Arabidopsis thaliana: one gene and its partners. The protein of the gene in region 1 interacts with the protein of each later gene in a biochemical or structural test. Each region holds a gene or a part of one and is shown in the gene's direction. Other genes may lie near its edges. The genes, in order: ABF2, DREB2C, ARIA and DREB2A.

The links.
Region 2: the proteins of ABF2 (region 1) and DREB2C form a complex in vitro, tested with the Arabidopsis thaliana proteins (one study listed by BioGRID).
Region 3: the proteins of ABF2 (region 1) and ARIA form a complex in vitro, tested with the Arabidopsis thaliana proteins (one study listed by BioGRID).
Region 4: the proteins of ABF2 (region 1) and DREB2A form a complex in vitro, tested with the Arabidopsis thaliana proteins (one study listed by BioGRID).

The regions. Positions count from the first base shown.
Region 1 is NC_003070.9:17,164,611-17,169,408, reverse strand, and holds ABF2 (abscisic acid responsive elements-binding factor 2), read left to right. Parts: upstream 1-1,519; 5' UTR 1,520-1,636; intron 1,637-1,667; exon of another isoform or gene 1,668-1,927; 5' UTR 1,928-1,948; coding exon 1,949-3,067; coding exon of another isoform or gene 3,068-3,220; exon of another isoform or gene 3,221-3,339; coding exon of another isoform or gene 3,340-3,384; exon of another isoform or gene 3,385-3,626; coding exon 3,627-3,698; intron 3,699-3,778; coding exon 3,779-3,808; intron 3,809-3,914; coding exon 3,915-3,989; 3' UTR 3,990-4,251; downstream 4,252-4,798. UniProt on the Arabidopsis thaliana protein: Involved in ABA and stress responses and acts as a positive component of glucose signal transduction. Functions as a transcriptional activator in the ABA-inducible expression of rd29B.
Region 2 is NC_003071.7:16,847,875-16,852,158, reverse strand, and holds DREB2C (Integrase-type DNA-binding superfamily protein), read left to right. Parts: upstream 1-1,671; 5' UTR 1,672-1,801; coding exon of another isoform or gene 1,802-1,824; exon of another isoform or gene 1,825-2,305; 5' UTR 2,306-2,308; coding exon 2,309-2,352; exon of another isoform or gene 2,353-2,491; coding exon 2,492-3,494; 3' UTR 3,495-3,770; downstream 3,771-4,284. Other genes in the region: AT2G40350 (Integrase-type DNA-binding superfamily protein), read left to right, coding at 99-564. UniProt on the Arabidopsis thaliana protein: Transcriptional activator that binds specifically to the DNA sequence 5'-[AG]CCGAC-3'. Binding to the C-repeat/DRE element mediates high salinity- and abscisic acid-inducible transcription.
Region 3 is NC_003076.8:6,507,053-6,514,790, reverse strand, and holds ARIA (ARM repeat protein interacting with ABF2), read left to right. Parts: upstream 1-1,989; 5' UTR 1,990-2,089; coding exon 2,090-2,342; intron 2,343-2,424; coding exon of another isoform or gene 2,425-2,427; coding exon 2,428-2,585; intron 2,586-2,777; coding exon 2,778-2,950; intron 2,951-3,033; coding exon 3,034-3,154; intron 3,155-3,221; coding exon 3,222-3,296; intron 3,297-3,387; coding exon 3,388-3,482; intron 3,483-3,648; coding exon 3,649-3,724; intron 3,725-3,941; coding exon 3,942-4,049; intron 4,050-4,470; coding exon 4,471-4,599; intron 4,600-4,691; coding exon 4,692-4,760; intron 4,761-4,909; coding exon 4,910-4,969; intron 4,970-5,123; coding exon 5,124-5,247; intron 5,248-5,371; coding exon 5,372-5,511; intron 5,512-5,594; coding exon 5,595-5,658; intron 5,659-5,739; coding exon 5,740-5,819; intron 5,820-5,993; coding exon 5,994-6,058; intron 6,059-6,177; coding exon 6,178-6,295; intron 6,296-6,344; coding exon of another isoform or gene 6,345-6,384; coding exon 6,385-6,509; intron 6,510-6,596; and 3 more. UniProt on the Arabidopsis thaliana protein: May act as a substrate-specific adapter of an E3 ubiquitin-protein ligase complex (CUL3-RBX1-BTB) which mediates the ubiquitination and subsequent proteasomal degradation of target proteins.
Region 4 is NC_003076.8:1,600,250-1,604,656, forward strand, and holds DREB2A (DRE-binding protein 2A), read left to right. Parts: upstream 1-1,955; 5' UTR 1,956-2,120; intron 2,121-2,377; 5' UTR 2,378-2,400; coding exon 2,401-3,408; 3' UTR 3,409-3,790; downstream 3,791-4,407. Other genes in the region: AT5G05400 (LRR and NB-ARC domains-containing disease resistance protein), read right to left, coding at 1-120; AT5G05420 (FKBP-like peptidyl-prolyl cis-trans isomerase family protein), read right to left, coding at 3,791-3,869, 3,966-4,014, 4,103-4,144, 4,234-4,321, 4,401-4,407. UniProt on the Arabidopsis thaliana protein: Transcriptional activator that binds specifically to the DNA sequence 5'-[AG]CCGAC-3'. Binding to the C-repeat/DRE element mediates high salinity- and dehydration-inducible transcription.

The DNA.
Region 1 (4,798 bases):
AAAAAAAAACACTACTATAATTAGTGAATTGAGAGTATTATTGTCCTTGTATTTAATTTTTAAACGTAAAAAATAATAAGATGGGTTTGATAATGTGAAGGTGAGCCCAACTAAAAACTAGAGACGTGGACCAATGGAAAAAAAGTAAGAAGACTCTTTGGTTTCTGACATCTTCCCCCACAAAACACAAAGTCGATGTGAAAGCAAATAATAGTGTTCGTCCACGTTACATCGACAATCAACGGCTGAGATTTGGTTTCATTATGTGTCTGTCTCATCGAGGTTGGTTCGTGTTTTTGTTTTTGTTGGTTGTGACAGTAATGGAGCGACACGTTATTTCGTTACAACTACTTTTTTCTTTTTTAAAACTTTTGTAATCAGAGGACTAAAGAAGTAAGTGGACCGATCATAAATAACAAACTCAGGTGATTGATTATTGGACCTTTGTCACTTCAGGATGGAGAAGCGTTTTCAATTCACCGGTGAAATAAAATATTAGCTGATTTTTTTAAAAAGAATTAAGGTTTTGAATGGATATTGTGGATAAATCGGATTAAAATTTGGAATTATACCAATATTTTCTTTTTTAACGAACATTTTGATTGGTAAACTTTAATCCATTTTGATATGTAAACTTTCTGAGAAGTTTTAGGACTATACCCATATATAATACCAATTTTTTATGTAAGAACTATATGAATTATTTTGTATATAGAGTTTTTTTTTCTTTTTGTTTTGTATATACCACTACAAATTATAATTTTGTGAATGATAAATAAGAAGTTGTCTAATCTACAAACCCATTTTGTTCTCCAACCACCGCAACCATGTGTACCTAAACAAATAAATATTAATTGGTTAATTAGCACAATTGTTAGAGTGAAATTATTATCTCGAATCCGATATAAAGAATTTGTCACTATTCTTTCCAAAATTTCCGATATTCAAAGTGTTGAGATCAATAGTAAAAATTTGAATCCGTCCAAATTGATTTAAATACAATTTTAAAGTTTACATACCCAAAAATCATTTGGTTTCTCTCAAAATATTTAAATATTTAGATATTACTTGGAAATCTGGGTAGTAACAATTTGGATTTGTCCAAGCAACATTTGGATCTAGATATCATAATTTCCAAGTCAACATATCCAAATTCGCCAGATATAATATTAATATATATATATATATATGTAAAATACAATATTTTCATTTCTTTTCTAGTATATAATACTTTATTTTCATAAACATAATCCAATCTTAATTTTACAATTTTAAAGACGTTTTAACATTTTAATTTATTGTGTAGATACAATGATTTTTGGACGGAATTCCAAAGTGAAAACAACTTATTTTAGGAACCTAAAGTAAATTAAAACAACATAAATCCTGAAAAGGAAAACAATTAGTAAGTGAAATTAGTAAAATAAAAACGAAGAGGGAAAGTGACGCAAAATACAAAGATACAGAGTATATACCATTTTATTAAAATAATTAGCAAAAGTAGTATTTATTCAAGATTGTTAGGAGCCAGAGAGACACTTGGCTCACCAGACAAACTACCTAATCACCCAAACGAAGAACCAAACATTTTGAAATTTTTTGGGAAAATTACAAAGCACACGAATTTAGCAAAAAGGTAATAGATTTTTCTTCTCTTTGTGTGTATAGAAGAAACTGTGGTTTTTGTTCATCTTCTTTTAATTCTTTCGATTTATGTCCACACTTAATTTTTGGATAAAATTACTAATTGTGCCTAATACTTGTCATAAACGCATTCATATTCTCCTGTTGGTTTAATCTGTTTTTATCCATTTGACTATTAAAGTTTTGAAATCTGTTAGTGTTTTTGAATTGGGTTTTGCAGATTTCTTGATTTTTATTTATAGATTAGGGTTCTGATACTAAAGTTTGGATTTTTAAACTAAAGTTTGGATTTTTTTTTGTATTCATGGTTCAGATCCAGTTATTAGGTGGAAGCAGATTTTGTAGAAAAATGGATGGTAGTATGAATTTGGGGAATGAGCCACCAGGAGATGGTGGTGGAGGTGGAGGGTTGACTAGACAAGGTTCGATATACTCGTTGACGTTTGATGAGTTTCAGAGCAGTGTAGGGAAAGATTTTGGGTCAATGAACATGGATGAGTTGTTAAAGAATATATGGAGTGCTGAAGAAACACAAGCCATGGCTAGTGGTGTGGTTCCAGTTCTTGGTGGAGGTCAAGAGGGTTTGCAGCTGCAGAGGCAAGGCTCGTTGACTCTGCCTCGAACGCTTAGTCAGAAGACGGTTGATCAAGTTTGGAAAGATCTATCCAAAGTTGGAAGTAGTGGAGTAGGGGGAAGTAACTTGTCTCAGGTGGCTCAGGCTCAGAGTCAGAGTCAGAGTCAGAGGCAGCAAACATTAGGTGAAGTAACTTTGGAGGAGTTTTTGGTTCGTGCTGGTGTTGTGAGAGAGGAAGCTCAGGTTGCTGCAAGAGCTCAGATTGCTGAGAACAATAAAGGCGGTTACTTTGGTAATGATGCCAACACAGGTTTCTCTGTCGAGTTTCAGCAGCCTTCTCCACGAGTTGTTGCCGCTGGTGTAATGGGAAATCTTGGTGCAGAGACTGCAAATTCTTTGCAGGTTCAAGGTTCTAGTTTGCCTCTGAATGTGAATGGAGCTAGAACAACATACCAGCAATCGCAACAGCAACAGCCAATCATGCCTAAGCAGCCTGGTTTTGGTTATGGAACACAAATGGGTCAGCTTAATAGTCCTGGGATAAGAGGTGGTGGTCTTGTGGGACTTGGAGATCAGTCTTTAACGAACAATGTGGGCTTTGTCCAAGGTGCTTCTGCTGCAATTCCTGGAGCTTTAGGCGTTGGTGCTGTGTCGCCTGTTACGCCATTGTCATCAGAAGGGATAGGGAAGAGTAATGGTGATTCTTCATCACTCTCTCCGTCTCCTTACATGTTTAATGGTGGTGTGAGAGGTAGAAAGAGTGGCACTGTGGAGAAAGTTGTAGAGAGAAGGCAAAGGAGAATGATAAAGAACCGAGAATCAGCTGCAAGGTCCCGGGCCAGGAAACAGGTTAATCTCTTCATCACCATCTATCTATGTACTCTTGATTGTGTTATAAGCCAAAAGATATGTAAAGTAAATTGGTTAGCTTATCTTGTAGTTAAGTTCTTTAACCACAATGAAGCGTTGAATTCAAAGCGTAAAGTGTCTTGTGTGAAGTAGTGTAGTAAACAACTAAACAGAATTATTGGGACTTGAAATCAGTACTTGTGGCTGAATGAATCTCGCAAACAAATATGAACCTTCTGGTTTTGGTGTATATACATGTTGCCCATCCGCAGATATTCACGGCAGACCAAACAATATACTGGAATGTAATTTGCTAATGTCATGAGGTGGCTCAGAGTTTAAATGAGTAGTGAGGGTTCATCGTCAAAACCTGAGTAGTGGCGACATGGTTTTTCTTTTGGGGCAAGGTAATGGGTAATTGGTGCTCCCAAAAACCTGTTACATCTGACATGTACTATGACCAAACTGTTGAGTTCTACATTTGAGGGTCTAAATGTTTTGAATGGCACTCTAGTCTTTATCTCATAAGCTTCTCAGTCGTGCTTGTTTTGGTTCATAGGCTTACACCGTGGAGCTTGAAGCTGAAGTTGCAAAGTTAAAGGAAGAGAATGACGAGTTACAACGAAAGCAGGTAATCACAAAACCATGTCTCAGCATCACAGTTGCTCATACGTTACATTCATTTCTCATTGTACGCCTCATGTTTTACAGGCAAGGATCATGGAAATGCAAAAGAATCAGGTAATAATTCTTATGCCAATGCAACAACACTGGAATCTCTAAACTGCACATTTCATAGCTGAACTTGTAAACTTGGTTGTTTGTTTCCGTGCTATGTATAAAACAGGAGACGGAGATGAGGAATCTTCTGCAAGGAGGTCCAAAGAAAAAGCTGAGGAGGACAGAGTCGGGACCTTGGTGAATCAATCAATGCCATCATACTTAGTTTCTGTAGATAAATGACATCCCACTTAGGTGTTTTAGTTGAATTAGACTTAATAGAGAAGAGCTTTCATCGTTTATATTGTAAGCTCTCTCCATATATGTTATGTTTTTTACATACACAGGATCATCAGAATCTCTTTTGCTTTATTTAGACCAAGAATTTTGTGTGTGTTTCTCGTTGTTGTTTGTCGTTGTCGCTATTAAACCTCAAAATGTACTTTCTTGATCTTGGAGTTACCAATTTTGAAGAATTGAAGTGTTGTTTGGTTTCTCTGAGTGCCAAAACTATGACCTGTGCCAACACAGCATTCTAGCCTTCTAGGCAAGCGACTATAACCCAAACCGAACCGAACCTTGGTCATTTCGGACGGATGAGGTAACCGAGTCGGTTTGATGTGGTTCACTGAACCGACAGTTACACAAAGTAAACATTTGTACTGAAATTTATGTATGTATCAAAGTAAAATTCCTCTAAATTCGATAACCAAACCAAACGGGATTAATCATTTGCATGGAGAATAAATACATAACCGAACCAATTTAACCGATGACCGAATCGAACCAAAACCGACTTATTCGGTTTGATTTTTTAGTTACTAAAAATGAAAGTGTTCACTCTCATTCTCTCCCACTTCGTCGCTCAAATTCTCCCTAATTTCACCTGCAAAACCCTAGTTTTTCGTTGATTCGTTTCGTCTCCGGTGTAAAATCAAATACTATCTTTAGGTATTTCGTCTTACCCAACTCTATCTTTCCATGTTTTCCGAGGACAAAATAAAAGGTTAA
Region 2 (4,284 bases), on another chromosome or scaffold:
TGAACATGTTGCTTTAAATCTTGTTAAGAGAAAAAATGGGACTTGCTTCTGTGCCCAATAGTTCACGAGCATGTTGCTAATCTTGCTTCTATGCCCAGGAAACGGAAGTCTCGTGGAACACGAGATGTAGCTGAGATTCTAAGGAAATGGAGAGAGTACAATGAGCAGACCGAGGCAGATTCTTGCATCGATGGTGGTGGTTCAAAACCAATCCGAAAGGCTCCTCCAAAACGTTCGAGGAAGGGTTGTATGAAAGGTAAAGGTGGACCTGAAAATGGGATTTGTGACTATACAGGAGTTAGACAGAGGACATGGGGTAAATGGGTTGCTGAGATCCGTGAGCCAGGCCGAGGTGCTAAGTTATGGCTCGGTACTTTCTCTAGTTCATATGAAGCTGCATTGGCTTATGATGAGGCTTCCAAAGCTATTTACGGTCAGTCTGCCCGACTCAATCTTCCACTGCTGCCACTGTGTCAGGCTCGGTTACTGCATTTTCTGATGAATCTGAAGTTTGTGCACGTGAGGATACAAATGCAAGATCTGGTTTTGGTCAGGTCAGACTAGAGGATTGTATTGATGAATATGTTCTCCTAGATAGTTCTAGTGTATTGTTAATCGTAGTTGACTATTGTGAGGTCTTAAGTTGTAGATTGAAAATGAGATAGCTCATATGGAGCTTTATTGAAATGCAAGAAAGTAAACAAAGGAAGATCTTTAGATTGTCACCAAGAGTGGTCTGAAACTCTCATAACACTCAATCCTCCTCCTCCTCATCACCACCACTACAAAATATTATATTCTCTATCTCTCAATCTATGAGGAGATGTATTCTATCAAGCATTTGAAATGATAAGAAACTGGCGATCATCCTCTACGTCACCATCACTCCAAAATTATCCTCTTTCTAGGTTTAAGTTTTGTAATGATCGCCTTTATTTGTTGAGATCTCTAACTTCTCGCATTTCCAAAATGTTAAGTCCAATAACTGCATTGGTTAAGTTGGGGCGTTACTAGTCGGCTTAAATCCAAATATGGATTTGATTCCATATGTATGTGACAGTTTCTTAACGTTCATATTACAATGAATGATGGATCCTTGACTAGACAAAGAGAAAATGGATTGTCACTTCGTAGGAAAAATAGAAATTCTCCACGAAGGCTGGTCTCCTTTATTTAACGACAAATTCACTCATAGTCTCATTCACAATTTGAACTTGTCTAACACAATGTGTTATATACTCGCGAAAAGAAGCATAATAGGCTCTTAAGGGTAATCCACGAAACCAAAACACATATAAAACATTAATATTTTTCTCTAAATTTATTCATATCAATAATAAAGTTTACAAAAAATATAAAACAATAATCCATACTTAGCCCATAGCTTCGTGTGGAAGAAGACTTGATTTTTGACTAGTCAACGAAAATGAGTAAATGACGTATTCAGCTATAGTAAAAGGGATCATAAGCGGAAATTACAAAGAAGCTTTGAGGGTAAAATAGTCAAAAAGCATAATCAGAAATAACTTAGGCCCAAAGCAAAAAGGAAAGGACTCTGGATCCAGCCGCAAATCAGAATCTGGTAAGTTCGAACGCCACGTCATCACCTAAATATCTGAAATATCTAATTAAGACTTGTCTATATATAAAGGCTTCTCCTTTCACAATCCCAAACCTTTCTCTTCTCTGCTAACGAGAAAACAAAAGCTATCGTCTTTGCTACTACTACTACTACTATTATTACATTGAATCCTTTGTGTTCTTCTTCTTCAGCTGCTACTTTGTTCGAGTGCTTTCTTACATGCCGTCGGAGATTGTTGACAGGTTTGTTTGTTACATTTTTCGATTTTTCTCCGTTTTTTTTCCTCTCTTCTGTATGTTTGCTAAATGTGATTGTTCATTGTTAGGGTTTAAGATTTTCTTTTTATCGATTTTTGTTGTTTTGTGTGTATATCCTCCAAGTTCCTTTGTTTGTGTAATAGGTGGAAGCTGAAAGGTTTTTCAATTTTAGGGTTTTTGGGGTTTTTTGTTGACTGAAATTTGTTAATTTGGGGCACAATTTGTCTCTTTTGGATTGAGTTCTGTGCGATTTGTGGATTCTAGTTCGTGTGTGGTTAAGAGACTTGGAAATTAGAGGATTTTTAGCTAAAATAATCGTTAAAGGTGGTACCTTTCCTGATACAGAAGTTAGATTATGGATTCTATGTTGAATCTTTAGGTGATTCTCTGTTTCTGAGTTTGCTCTGTTCTAGTTTCTTAATCTGTTCGTGATGGAGTTTCTTTCTTGCTCGCTGTGATGCTGCAGATTATGAAAACTTCTTCTTGTAGCTACTTCGGTGTAATTACGTTCAGGTGGTTAAAAATTGTTTCTTTGAAAGGTGCTTTGATCCGAAGTATAGTTGAACCTGTTGCTTGAAATTTTGTGAAGAGAGAAAATTGGAGTTCTCGAGCATGTTGCTAATCTTGCTTCTATCCCCTTTGATTCTACCAGGAAAAGGAAGTCTCGTGGAACACGAGATGTAGCTGAGATTCTAAGGCAATGGAGAGAGTACAATGAGCAGATTGAGGCAGAATCTTGTATCGATGGTGGTGGTCCAAAATCAATCCGAAAGCCTCCTCCAAAAGGTTCGAGGAAGGGTTGTATGAAAGGTAAAGGTGGACCTGAAAACGGGATTTGTGACTATAGAGGAGTTAGACAGAGGAGATGGGGTAAATGGGTTGCTGAGATCCGTGAGCCAGACGGAGGTGCTAGGTTGTGGCTCGGTACTTTCTCCAGTTCATATGAAGCTGCATTGGCTTATGACGAGGCGGCCAAAGCTATATATGGTCAGTCTGCCAGACTCAATCTTCCCGAGATCACAAATCGCTCTTCTTCGACTGCTGCCACTGCCACTGTGTCAGGCTCGGTTACTGCATTTTCTGATGAATCTGAAGTTTGTGCACGTGAGGATACAAATGCAAGTTCAGGTTTTGGTCAGGTGAAACTAGAGGATTGTAGCGATGAATATGTTCTCTTAGATAGTTCTCAGTGTATTAAAGAGGAGCTGAAAGGAAAAGAGGAAGTGAGGGAAGAACATAACTTGGCTGTTGGTTTTGGAATTGGACAGGACTCGAAAAGGGAGACTTTGGATGCTTGGTTGATGGGAAATGGCAATGAACAAGAACCATTGGAGTTTGGTGTGGATGAAACGTTTGATATTAATGAGCTATTGGGTATATTAAACGACAACAATGTGTCTGGTCAAGAGACAATGCAGTATCAAGTGGATAGACACCCAAATTTCAGTTACCAAACGCAGTTTCCAAATTCTAACTTGCTCGGGAGCCTCAACCCTATGGAGATTGCTCAACCAGGAGTTGATTATGGATGTCCTTATGTGCAGCCCAGTGATATGGAGAACTATGGTATTGATTTAGACCATCGCAGGTTCAATGATCTTGACATACAGGACTTGGATTTTGGAGGAGACAAAGATGTTCATGGATCTACATAAGATTTCAAATTTCGTTTGACTGGCCTAAGTTTGTGATTCTGCTCCGAGACGGTGTAGCTGTTACTAGCTAGAAGCTGCCCTTCTTTGAAGCTACTGATACTTTCTGATATTAATGGTTGTGAGACGTAGTACATGTAGTTAGGTAATGTAGGACAAGTTCAAATATGATTCCTTCTTTCTTTTTCTTGTGAATACATATGACATATGAAGAAGTTCAAACGTTGGGTTTAGAAAAAGTTTATAACATTCGGTACATATCAAAGTTTTGAACTTCGGATGCATATAAGCTATAAAGTTTTGATCTTTGAACTTTGGATACTCTCACATCTAATTTTCATCCTTAAGAATGGAGATGGAATAATGCGATGTTGCGTAGTGGTTTTATTGACTTGGCAAGTTTTGATTATTCAAGAAACTTGGCTTAGTTTAATGGAAATATCCAGTAGTGGAGTTTTTTGGTCTGCAGACTTTCCTCAGGTTGTCTGAGATTACATAAGCAATGAGGTATGAATAATAAAGTTATCATTAGAGAGTTATCTATCTGTATTTTCTACAAAAGGCAAATTGGGTATTTGAAAGTGCAAATGGGACATAGTTGTATATTATTTAAAAGGCTTTAACTATTCCATTCTGGTCTCCAAAATCGTTTTTCTTGCTCGAATCTTGAAGATCTTCTAAGCCTTTAGAAAAATGAAGAAATCAAGTTGGCAAACTGTTAATTAATTAAATCCAATGAATTGGTGGGTATTGCACCTCCACAAGTTCCCTTTGACAATGTGTCCTCTTCTCC
Region 3 (7,738 bases), on another chromosome or scaffold:
TGAAATCAATCTTTGACGTATTCGTTAGATCTGTATATGACTTCAATCATGATAATGCCACGCTGTCTTCTTTCACTACACTAAAAAATACAGCAAAGAATGGATGGACAAACAAAAACACTATAAACGAGTCTATACACTGTCTTAGCCTGGGATCACTATTTTCTTTTTCTTTGTACTCATCTTAAGATGAAACCTACACTAACTCCGAGTCTATAGAAATACGAGTTTTCTTGCCACTTAAAATGTCTACATGTAGTCAAGCGGAACGATGAGATACAGTTTCTCACTTGAAAGGATTATTGGCCTAGACCAACATGAAGCAGAGCGAAACCACTCGCCATCTACCAGTTTGTGACGAATGTAACTTAAGATATCTAACTTCACACACATGCTATAAAAGAAGCAAAAACTTAAATCATGTTGTGTCATGTGAAAAAAGAATTTTACTGTTCTTGTTTAAGCAATTTGGAACGACTAATGTCTTTGTTCGTAGTTCAACGTTAAGGTGAGATATAATATAACTCTTATCGGATGGGTGAAACCCACTAGGAAGTTTTGTGACTTAGCTAAGATCAAGTCTTGGTTTCTCAAGAAGATTGCTTGGAACTTGGCCCGGTTAGACTATAGTTTTGTATGATTCTAAAACACAGGAAACAAACATATATAAGTATATAACAATCTCAATGGTCTGGCATGTGATTCGGAGAAGGTTCAGGGTTTAGGTAAGGTCAGAGAGCAGAAGGTGTTGACCCTCTGGTCCGGCCGGAGATCAAAAACGAAGAGCGAGTCAAAGAGAGGTCCTTTGACCTTTTCTCTCTCCGTTAATTCCATTGCGGCTGACGTGGGAATTTCATGCCTATATGGCCCAGCAACGAGACCTGGCTCATGATCAGGCCCATTATTTTCGAAAATCTTCTATTGGACACTCCACATTATATCATCTTGATTGGGTTACAAAACAAATATATTATTTATGTGAAATGTAAAATAAAATAAAAAAATTGCAAGTAACATGTATATCATTATATATTGATACTTTTATAAGAAAAAAATGTATATATGGATACCAGCTAGCTTCACACATCACTACATAGCATCACACACATCACTACCTAGGCATTTGCCCACTTTAGACCTCACAATAATTATTTCTTATGATCTCATAGTGAATCAATCACATTTTTACAAACACAAATAATAAGATACATGCTCTATTGCTCTTGAGAGAGGCACAAAAAGAGATATGCTGCTGAATTCCATATATCATAATGAGCTATGATTCTATGAATAAACCTTTTATTTTCTTCCACTTTATCGTTTGTTCTCGCTTTTTTTTTTCCCCTTTGTTTGTTCAAAGCATGCTCGTGCCTCCGAAGTTTTGATTTCATGTGGTCACCATATATAAAGAAATAGTTCCTTTTATCTTCTCAAATTAAAGAAATAGTTCTTTCTTCTCTCTTTGATATTTTTATTCACACTTTCAAACACGTCTCCTTTGTGGCAGACCACCCAAAAGTTCAAAAGCCTTACTATTACTTATTTTTATTATTATTGATACCAACTAATAATGACTATAAACCATCAACAATAAGTTTTTAGTTGTTGCAATAAAACTGCACAACCTCGAGGTGGGAGTGGGACAATATCTTTTCAGTTCCGGTACGCCCAAGTTAGCAAATCGGCACCACCAGTGAGGAGCGCAAATTAGCACTATGTCGCTAGAAAAACATTTCAATATATATATATATATATATATATATTTGTCTAAAAACATTTCAATATATAAACAATCAAAAATGTAAACGAAAAATTAAAAACGTTTCAATTATACATTCTTTGGACATTAATAAGAAAGATCATTTATGTCTAATACTCTAATCCCAAGTACGAATTTGTTTTTTTCTTTTCTTACAATTTAAACTAGAAATACAAAATAAAAATAAAATAAAGGGTTTTTATTTGTGAGTCGAATGAAATAACGAAAATACCCCTGATCTCTTTTGTGCCTGAGATTGATTTCAAAACGCTGCTTCTTCTTCTTCTCTGATCTCTCCTCTTCTTCGGATCGTCTTTTACTTTGTGAACGATGGACCAACAACCGGAGAGGCGAGAAGGCCGGAGTTTTCCGGAGCGTAAAGGACAGAAGCGGAAGCTAGAGGAAGGAGCCGCCGCCGTAGAAGATCGAGAGATCTCTGCCGTCAGCACCGACGGAGGCCAAGCGCTTCTTAGCGAGGTTGCTGCTCAAGTCTCGGTACTAAACTCTGCCTTCTCTTGGCAAGAGTCCGATCGCGCTGCTGCCAAGCGAGCCACTCAAGTTCTGGCTGAGCTAGCCAAAAACGGTGAAAATCAGCTTCCGATCTTACTCCTTTTTCTCCGGTTTCTTCATATTTTGTTGCATGACTAGTGACCTTTGATGTTCAGCAGAGGATTTAGTGAACGTGATTGTCGACGGAGGTGCTGTTCCAGCTCTTATGACGCATCTACAGGCGCCACCATACAACGACGGGGACTTGGCTGAGAAGCCGTACGAACACGAAGTTGAGAAGGGAAGCGCTTTTGCGCTTGGTCTTCTTGCTATTAAGGTTGTGATCCTCATTTTCTCTATGTCAGCTCCTTGTATAGTGTGTTTAGCTTGTTAGAAAGTAGTTTCCTTTTTTGTTTTGTTGATCCAAATCAATTTTTTTTAAGGCAAAATTTTGGTAATTGAACTCTTATACACGGAGGGGATTATGTATTGTTTGTGTGATCGTGTTGTGGAATTGATTTCTTAACAGCCAGAGTATCAGAAACTGATAGTAGACAAAGGTGCCTTACCTCATTTAGTGAATTTGTTGAAGAGAAACAAAGATGGTTCTAGCTCTCGAGCTGTGAATAGTGTTATCAGAAGAGCGGCTGATGCCATCACCAATCTTGCTCATGAGAACAGCAGTATCAAGACCCGTGTTAGGTCAGCATATTTAAGTGGTTTTCTCCTTTCGAGATTTGTTTTCAGTACAACTCTATCCTCTTGACTTCCAGTTTGACAAACAGGGTAGAAGGCGGTATTCCACCTCTCGTGGAGTTGCTTGAATTTTCTGATTCAAAGGTCCAGAGAGCAGCAGCAGGGGCATTGAGAACCCTTGCATTTAAAAATGATGATAACAAGAATCAGGTAAATATTGCTATCTTACAGCTTCTACTTAGATTTAGCCGGAGCATGATAATTATTTTCTTTGCAGATAGTTGAATGCAATGCTCTTCCCACACTTATTCTAATGCTAGGATCAGAGGATGCTGCTATACATTATGAAGCGGTTAGGAATCTTTTTATAATCAACTGTTTTGCTACTTATTTATCTATGTGGGATTGACGTTGAAATAACCAGTTGAGTCATGCTTTTTAAGGTTGGAGTTATAGGCAATCTAGTACACTCGTCTCCACACATTAAAAAAGAGGTTCTTACTGCCGGGGCGTTGCAACCTGTCATTGGTCTTCTTAGGTATGTGGACCCTCACCATTTTGATATACATGGTTGATGGTTCAGCATAGAGTTGTTATGACTTTGGCTAGAGCTGAAATCTTACCAGCTTCTCTATTGTTGAGGTTTTTATTTCGCTGTTAACCCCAAGTTCATTCTTTTGATTTCTTGAATTTTTCTTTTACAGCTCCTGTTGCCCTGAGAGTCAAAGAGAGGCGGCTTTATTACTTGGGCAGTTTGCCTCAACTGATTCTGATTGTAAGGTACAATTTCATCCCAGGTTTTTTTATCCTCAGCTCTTTTTCCATTCCCGAAAGCCTTATATCTTTTTTTGTTTGGTTATACGAAGTGATAAGTTGTTTGTTTCTGTTGATTTGTAGAACATACCTTCCCATTTCTCACTAATTCTACCATTTTCCCTGATTTATATAGGTTTGTTTTGTTCATTCTTCACTTCATGCTCAAATTATAACTTTGCAGGTGCACATTGTGCAAAGGGGTGCTGTCCGTCCTTTAATTGAGATGCTTCAGTCCCCGGATGTCCAGTTGAAGGAAATGTCGGCCTTTGCACTGGGTAGATTGGCACAGGTTCTTCTTTTAAAACTTTTGGTAGTTCGGTTATGAAAGTGTACGCATTCCCATTTGAGTGTTGTGAAATAGTAACTTCACGCTTTAGATGTTACCTCTTCTTACTTCCAGATCAAACATTTGATACCACAACTGTTATTAATTTGTAGCTTTTGTTTCTTAGTGTTTTCAAATAATTCCTAGTGATCCTGGATAATTTGCTGTTGCCTTGATTGTCAACTGTTTTCTTATTGGTTACTTCAAGATTGGTTTGATTTTAAATTTATAGATGCTAAAAAAGCTGGCTTCCATGGTTGTGGAAGATGGGTATTCTTATTGTGTTTCTAAATCTGTTTTCATTAGGGGGAACTTTTAAGTAGTGAGTTATATTAAATAATAAAACCGATGTGTCTTTTGATTTCTAGCATACTCTTTCTTGCAGGATGCCCACAATCAAGCTGGTATTGCCCATAGTGGTGGTTTAGGACCTTTATTGAAGCTTCTCGATTCAAGAAATGGATCATTGCAACACAATGCTGCATTTGCTCTTTATGGCCTTGCCGATAATGAGGTGTGCTGTATGCTACTTTCGGTTTATTCATTATGCAGAATTTGATGGTAAACGTCGGTAAATGGGTTATTGATCCATTTTTCTTCCCCTAGGATAATGTGTCAGATTTTATCAGGGTGGGAGGTATCCAAAAGCTACAGGATGGAGAGTTTATTGTTCAAGTATGTATGGCGTTGCCACTCTTCCTCTACTTTACAGAACCACATTGTCATACTCCTTTATTGGCTAGATACTGAAGTTTCTTAGCAGCTTTAATCGTATTTTTTTACTCTTCCCCTTAAGGTGTTTATAATATATCATGATTTTTTAGGCAACTAAAGATTGTGTTTCCAAAACACTAAAGAGATTGGAGGAGAAGATTCATGGAAGAGTAAGTGAAACTATACTTTTCTTTAATTCTTTTTTTTTTTCCATCTTTGATGACTAAAACTGCTTTATCCTGGTTGAGTTTCTGAAGCTCTGTTGAAGTTTAGCATTTCTTTATTCAACCTTTGAGATTTCTGTGCTTTGATTTTCTTTTGTAGGTTCTGAGACATCTGTTGTACCTAATGCGCATTTCAGAGAAGTCTATCCAAAGACGAGTTGCTCTTGCCCTTGCTCATCTCTGTTCACCCGAGGATCAACGAACCATATTCATAGATGACAACGGCATGTGACAGTTTTTTTATATTTTCATGAGCTAAATGAGATGCATGCGTTATGTTTAATGCGTTAACCGTCCAGTTTAGATGTTCTTTGTCCAAAAAGTTAATATTGAGTTGTCTTTTGACAGGGTTGGAGTTGCTACTCGGTCTTCTTGGTTCTTTAAACACTAAGCAGCAACTTGACGGTGCAGCAGCGTTGTACAAATTAGCAAATAAATCTATGGCACTTTCTCCAGTTGATGCTGCTCCTCCTTCTCCAACACAAAGGGTGAGTTTCCTTTCTGCTTCAGTTCTCCTATAGGTAACGGGTGGAAGTCTCAATGCAGTATTCTGTATGTCTTTTTGTGACAGGTTTATCTCGGAGAGCAATATGTAAATAATGCTACGCTGTCTGATGTAACCTTTCTAGTCGAAGGTAATCATATATAAATCCAGAAGTTGTGGAACTCTAGTTAGCTTCAAAGTCCATATGTAAAACAGAAAAATCATACTGCAGGAAGGACATTCTATGCACACAGAATTTGTCTGCTGGCATCCTCAGATGCATTTCGTGCAATGTTTGATGGTGGTTACAGAGTAAGTGAACTAAATATTTTGGTTTTTCGATAATGTTCTTGTGGGGTAAATGATATTTTGATGACAATGACGTATGGATGTATGCTGGTCTGCTATTTATCAAAGGAATACAATTATCTTTTGGGGAAATTAGACCTGAATTGTGTCACGGTTTGTGTTTCGTTTATATCACAGGAAAAAGACGCTAGAGATATTGAGATTCCAAATATCAAATGGGAGGTGTTTGAGTTAATGATGAGGTATGATGAATGAACCTCTGCATGCTTTTGATTGACTCACTCGAGATATTGAAATTTCGAAAAGTCTGTGAGAACTTTTCATATACACGTAATTGACTCCCTTGGATTATGATTTTCAGGTTTATATACACTGGATCTGTCGACATAACAAATGAGATATCAAAAGATCTTCTAAGAGCAGCGGATCAGTATCTCTTGGAGGGCCTGAAACGACTCTGTGAATACACAATTGCTCAGGTGAGCCAGAATTATATCACAATGTAAAGTGATGATGTGGTTTGCGTAGTACTTAACGAAATCTGACACGGTTACTTTGAATATGAAAGGATATTACGTTGGAAAGTATAGGAGACATGTACGAGCTATCAGAAGCATTCCATGCGATGTCGCTGAGGCAAGCTTGTATCATGTTCATCCTGGAGCATTTCGATAAACTGAGTTCAATGCCTTGGTAATATAAACAAGATGTCACTCTCTCTCTCCACTAAGATTTGTTTTATTGCTATTAGTCTGAAACAAAAGTGAATGGAAAATGCAGGCAGAACGAGCTGGTGCAGAGAACAATACCAGAGATAAGAGAGTACTTTTGTAGAGCCCTAACAAAGTCTACTACAAACCTGCAAAGCTTGAGGTTGTAGAATGCGGAAGAAGAAGACTGCACTTAACTAGAGGTAAGTAGACAAGGAATTATATAGAGAGAAAGAGAGAGAGAGATCAAGAGCCGCCATTAGAGGTCTTTATCGTCCTGTACTGGGTTGTCTTAGTTATTTGCTGTGCTTTTTGGTTCGTTTTGGTCATTTTGTATTGTATTAATTAATCTCCTCTGATCACAATCGGTCTTGAATGAAATCGCTACCCTTTGTATCCAAAAATACCATTGTGGTATAACTTCCACTATTCAATTCAAAATCCACTCTCCAACTATCCTCTCTGTTGAGAAAAGATACTTTGGGTAGGTTGTGACTAAGCGTAGCTGTAACGATTTGATATTGGTAGTGGTGACCAGTGAGTTCATGTCTGAATAATTAAGAGATGATTCAACACAGAACATAATATCCCATTTTTGTTTTACAAATAAAGAATCAATCGAAAGTATTACTGATGATTAGAGACTGTAACTTGTAAGTATTTTGTAGCACAAGCCACTGAAAATTACATTACACATAAAGGAGTTTTCTTTAACATGAAAGATTCAAAATTACCAGGTTGGTTCTAATTAATTACGTTTTCTTCCAAAGTGATTAATTACTCAAGTCACGATGAATTATTAACCTTTCTCTTTTTTTTTTTTTTTAAATTAGTCTATAGAGACTTTTGGTTCAACGAACGTAGGAGGGAGTTTTAAAGAGCTCCGGTGAAGGAGAAACCCTAAAAACACACTCGATTTTGCAGCCAGAGAGAGTCTCAGAGCTCCGAGATTCAGACAATCTTCATCGGTCCGGTACGCTTTTCATTTCCGTTTATTCTCATCGCAAACGGATAATTATTTGTCTGATCCGATTTTACCCTGTGATTAAGCACCGATGTTCCTTCCTCGTAGTTGGTGATTTAATGCTTCTTCTCGAAACTATCCACTTATAGGATCTCCGATCTTTACGAGATTACTCTCCTTAATCTCTGTTATTGATTTAGTCACAGCATTTTCTGATTTATCAATTAGTTATTCCTTTGGGCTCAATG
Region 4 (4,407 bases), on another chromosome or scaffold:
CTTTAGAGCCGCTACATGATCTACGAGGTTGCGGAAGCGATTTTGGTTCCTGCTAAGGCAGCTTGTAAGGTTATTAACAGCCTGGTCACAGGATATTGCCACAGAGAAGCAGGCTCCCATCTCTCATAGATTCTCAAATTCCTACCAGAGAGATTAATATACAAATTCCTTTCCTAATGTTTTAGTTTATTAACTGAGGTGTGTGCACGATCATTCGGGTTGACCACCAATCTTGGCATCCAGTCATCTACGACTCGATCAAATATTTATGTTATTTTAAAAATGAACTGTAACCAAGATAACATTTTTTTCATAAGGTCAACGACCCTTGGGATGTTAACAGAGCCAAGTTTAGTGAGCACTATGTGCTCGTTTTTTCTTAACACAATTCTAACGTGGTTTGGCCAAGCCAAGTCAACATTTTACTTACATCTCGTTTTCCAATAATGGTTTTGTAATCGATAACCTAAATCATTGTAATGAATGCGTTCCTCCCTATCGATCCTAGGCCTTAGACAATGCTGAATGATTCATAGCCACGCGAATAACCTATTCATACTAATATGGAAAGAAAGAAGCCAAACTTACAGAGCTCTTCTCACGGTCGTCGAAGAAAAGAGAGTCTACAGTCAGCAACAAAATTAGTGTTGCCATCATGGCATCATCTTGCAGCTTTTTCCGCACAAATAATTTATCATCCAAATGTTGTTCACTAAACCAAAAACAAACAAGCATTACAGCGAAGAAACCAACTCGTAGATACAGATTTCCAAATTCATGCCTTATTTAGACCAATAAAAACTGAAATTTCTCTTCAGCGAAAAAAAAAACAAACAAACTGAAATTTCATATAGATCCAGAAGATAGAAACTTGTAGGCTCAATCGACTAGACTAGAAGATGCTCACCCGATCGTGCTTGAGATAGCGAGATAGTAGCAACACCGACGGTAGAAATAAAATGGACGACACCCATCCAATGGGCTAATTTAGATTAACGGGCTTTAAGGGTTTGATAATGGATGTTAATTAACTGAGGCACATGGGATTGTATCACGTAGGCAATGGGTTTGATAATGGATGTTAAGTAACTAAGGCCCATGAGGTTGAAGTACGTAGGCAATTGCGTGAGCTTACGTTAGCGATGCCGTTAGAGACACGTAGTGGATGAAGTGGCTTTGGTTAGCAAAGGACACATGAGGCACATGCAAAGGCTATAAATGACTGCTGCTTTGCTACAACTTGCGATTCCCAAATTTTATAAGGTAATGGACCCTATCACCTCTGCTCGAAGCTAAGCCACCCAAGTTTGAGCTTCACCATTTGACACGTCTCTAGCTAATACTTAATGCTTAAACTTTAAACTAATACTTCATGTTTAAGACATTTCTGGCTGACACATTTATGAATTCGCTCTATGTCGTACGTACACCGGAAACCTTTAATTTTACAATATTAACCGTGATCTTTTTAAAAATATCTATATAAACGATAAGTATCTCATCAAAACAAAATTGAATAATGTGCACGTTTGTAAAAACTAGAAAAACAGGCAATAAACATCATCATCCAATTACACATCTAGTAAGTGTGATGCAGTGGCAAACTGGCAATAAACCAAGAAAAATCGAGAAAGAGCAGATGAGACAGTGTTGTGTTGTCAGGGTTAATAAAAAAAAAATGAAGATATTTTAAAATTTCATAATATTTAAATAATGAAGTAGTTTTATGATCTTATCCATAAATCAATTTTAAAAAGGTTTAAACTTTACTTTTCCGTATCAACAGCGTGTTTCGAGAAGATTCGGGAGGACACTCGTCGAACGGAAAAGTCGTCTAAGCCTTTATGTTCGAATCAAAAACTGACACGTAACCTTGCTCTCAAACAGAAAAATAAAATAATGTTAGAAAAATCTAGAGAAGGCTATAAATACTCCGTAGATACTTTGTCTTCCTTAGATATTTTGATTTCTGCTAAAGCTGTCTGATAAAAAGAAGAGGAAAACTCGAAAAAGCTACACACAAGAAGAAGAAGAAAAGATACGAGCAAGAAGACTAAACACGAAAGCGATTTATCAACTCGAAGGAAGAGACTTTGATTTTCAAATTTCGTCCCCTATAGGTACGTTGATTTCTGATTTCTTACAAATTTTCAATTAATTTCTCTGATTAGGTCTCGTCAATTGGTGATTCTAGGGTTTATCTTCGTCTTTAGGTTTTCGATTATTTCCTTTTAGGTATAGCTGTGAAATTGGGAAATTTTAGGTGTTCCTAATTTGATAACAAATAAGTAAATCGATCTGATTTTGAACCAAGTTTAAGTTCTCTTGCCTTATGTTTCAGCTTGTGTTCTGATATTGAAGTGTTGTTGTATTGTAGATTGTGTTGTTTCTGGGAAGGAGATGGCAGTTTATGATCAGAGTGGAGATAGAAACAGAACACAAATTGATACATCGAGGAAAAGGAAATCTAGAAGTAGAGGTGACGGTACTACTGTGGCTGAGAGATTAAAGAGATGGAAAGAGTATAACGAGACCGTAGAAGAAGTTTCTACCAAGAAGAGGAAAGTACCTGCGAAAGGGTCGAAGAAGGGTTGTATGAAAGGTAAAGGAGGACCAGAGAATAGCCGATGTAGTTTCAGAGGAGTTAGGCAAAGGATTTGGGGTAAATGGGTTGCTGAGATCAGAGAGCCTAATCGAGGTAGCAGGCTTTGGCTTGGTACTTTCCCTACTGCTCAAGAAGCTGCTTCTGCTTATGATGAGGCTGCTAAAGCTATGTATGGTCCTTTGGCTCGTCTTAATTTCCCTCGGTCTGATGCGTCTGAGGTTACGAGTACCTCAAGTCAGTCTGAGGTGTGTACTGTTGAGACTCCTGGTTGTGTTCATGTGAAAACAGAGGATCCAGATTGTGAATCTAAACCCTTCTCCGGTGGAGTGGAGCCGATGTATTGTCTGGAGAATGGTGCGGAAGAGATGAAGAGAGGTGTTAAAGCGGATAAGCATTGGCTGAGCGAGTTTGAACATAACTATTGGAGTGATATTCTGAAAGAGAAAGAGAAACAGAAGGAGCAAGGGATTGTAGAAACCTGTCAGCAACAACAGCAGGATTCGCTATCTGTTGCAGACTATGGTTGGCCCAATGATGTGGATCAGAGTCACTTGGATTCTTCAGACATGTTTGATGTCGATGAGCTTCTACGTGACCTAAATGGCGACGATGTGTTTGCAGGCTTAAATCAGGACCGGTACCCGGGGAACAGTGTTGCCAACGGTTCATACAGGCCCGAGAGTCAACAAAGTGGTTTTGATCCGCTACAAAGCCTCAACTACGGAATACCTCCGTTTCAGCTCGAGGGAAAGGATGGTAATGGATTCTTCGACGACTTGAGTTACTTGGATCTGGAGAACTAAACAAAACAATATGAAGCTTTTTGGATTTGATATTTGCCTTAATCCCACAACGACTGTTGATTCTCTATCCGAGTTTTAGTGATATAGAGAACTACAGAACACGTTTTTTCTTGTTATAAAGGTGAACTGTATATATCGAAACAGTGATATGACAATAGAGAAGACAACTATAGTTTGTTAGTCTGCTTCTCTTAAGTTGTTCTTTAGATATGTTTTATGTTTTGTAACAACAGGAATGAATAATACACACTTGTGAAGCTTTATGGGCCTTAGTGTGTCTCACAATATTTGAAATCGTAAGAGGAAAAACTATACGATCTCCACAAAAAAACTCATCATTGGATTGAGTCTTAGGAAGTTCTCTAGGGATTAGAGGGCAGCTTTATTTAACATTAAGCAGCTCGACATCAAAGACCAGCCAAGAGTCAGGGGGAATGCTACCAGCACCTTCCGCACCATACCTGTGAGCCAGACAATTTTATCATCTCTCATTAAAAAAAGCTTAAAATAAAACATCACATTATGGAAAAATAAAAAAAGATTTGCAAAGGCTTTACCCCATTTCTGGAGGAATTGTAAGCTTTCTTTTGCCACCAACAAGCATTCCTTTAGAAATTTACAAAAAGAGATCAAAACAACACACCATTTGACCATATTTAGTGAAGAAAAACCAGTAAGAAACTAGCTAGGTTACCATTAAGGCCAACATCCAATCCCTTAATGACTTTTCCAGCATCTGTATGTGTAACAGCAAGCACATAAGTATCCAAGTACCACTCACACATTAATAAAGCTCTTACTTTCGCATCAAGTTATAATACCAACCTAGACGAAACTTATAACGTGATTTTCCAACGGTGGAATCGAAAATCTTCCCATTCCCCTGAAGCTTTCCAGTATAATGGACACTTACCTGCACTCAGAGACAATAGACTGACCTCCAACAAATATTTGCACACAAACTACAACAGTTTAGGACTAAATGCTCATACCCTTTTG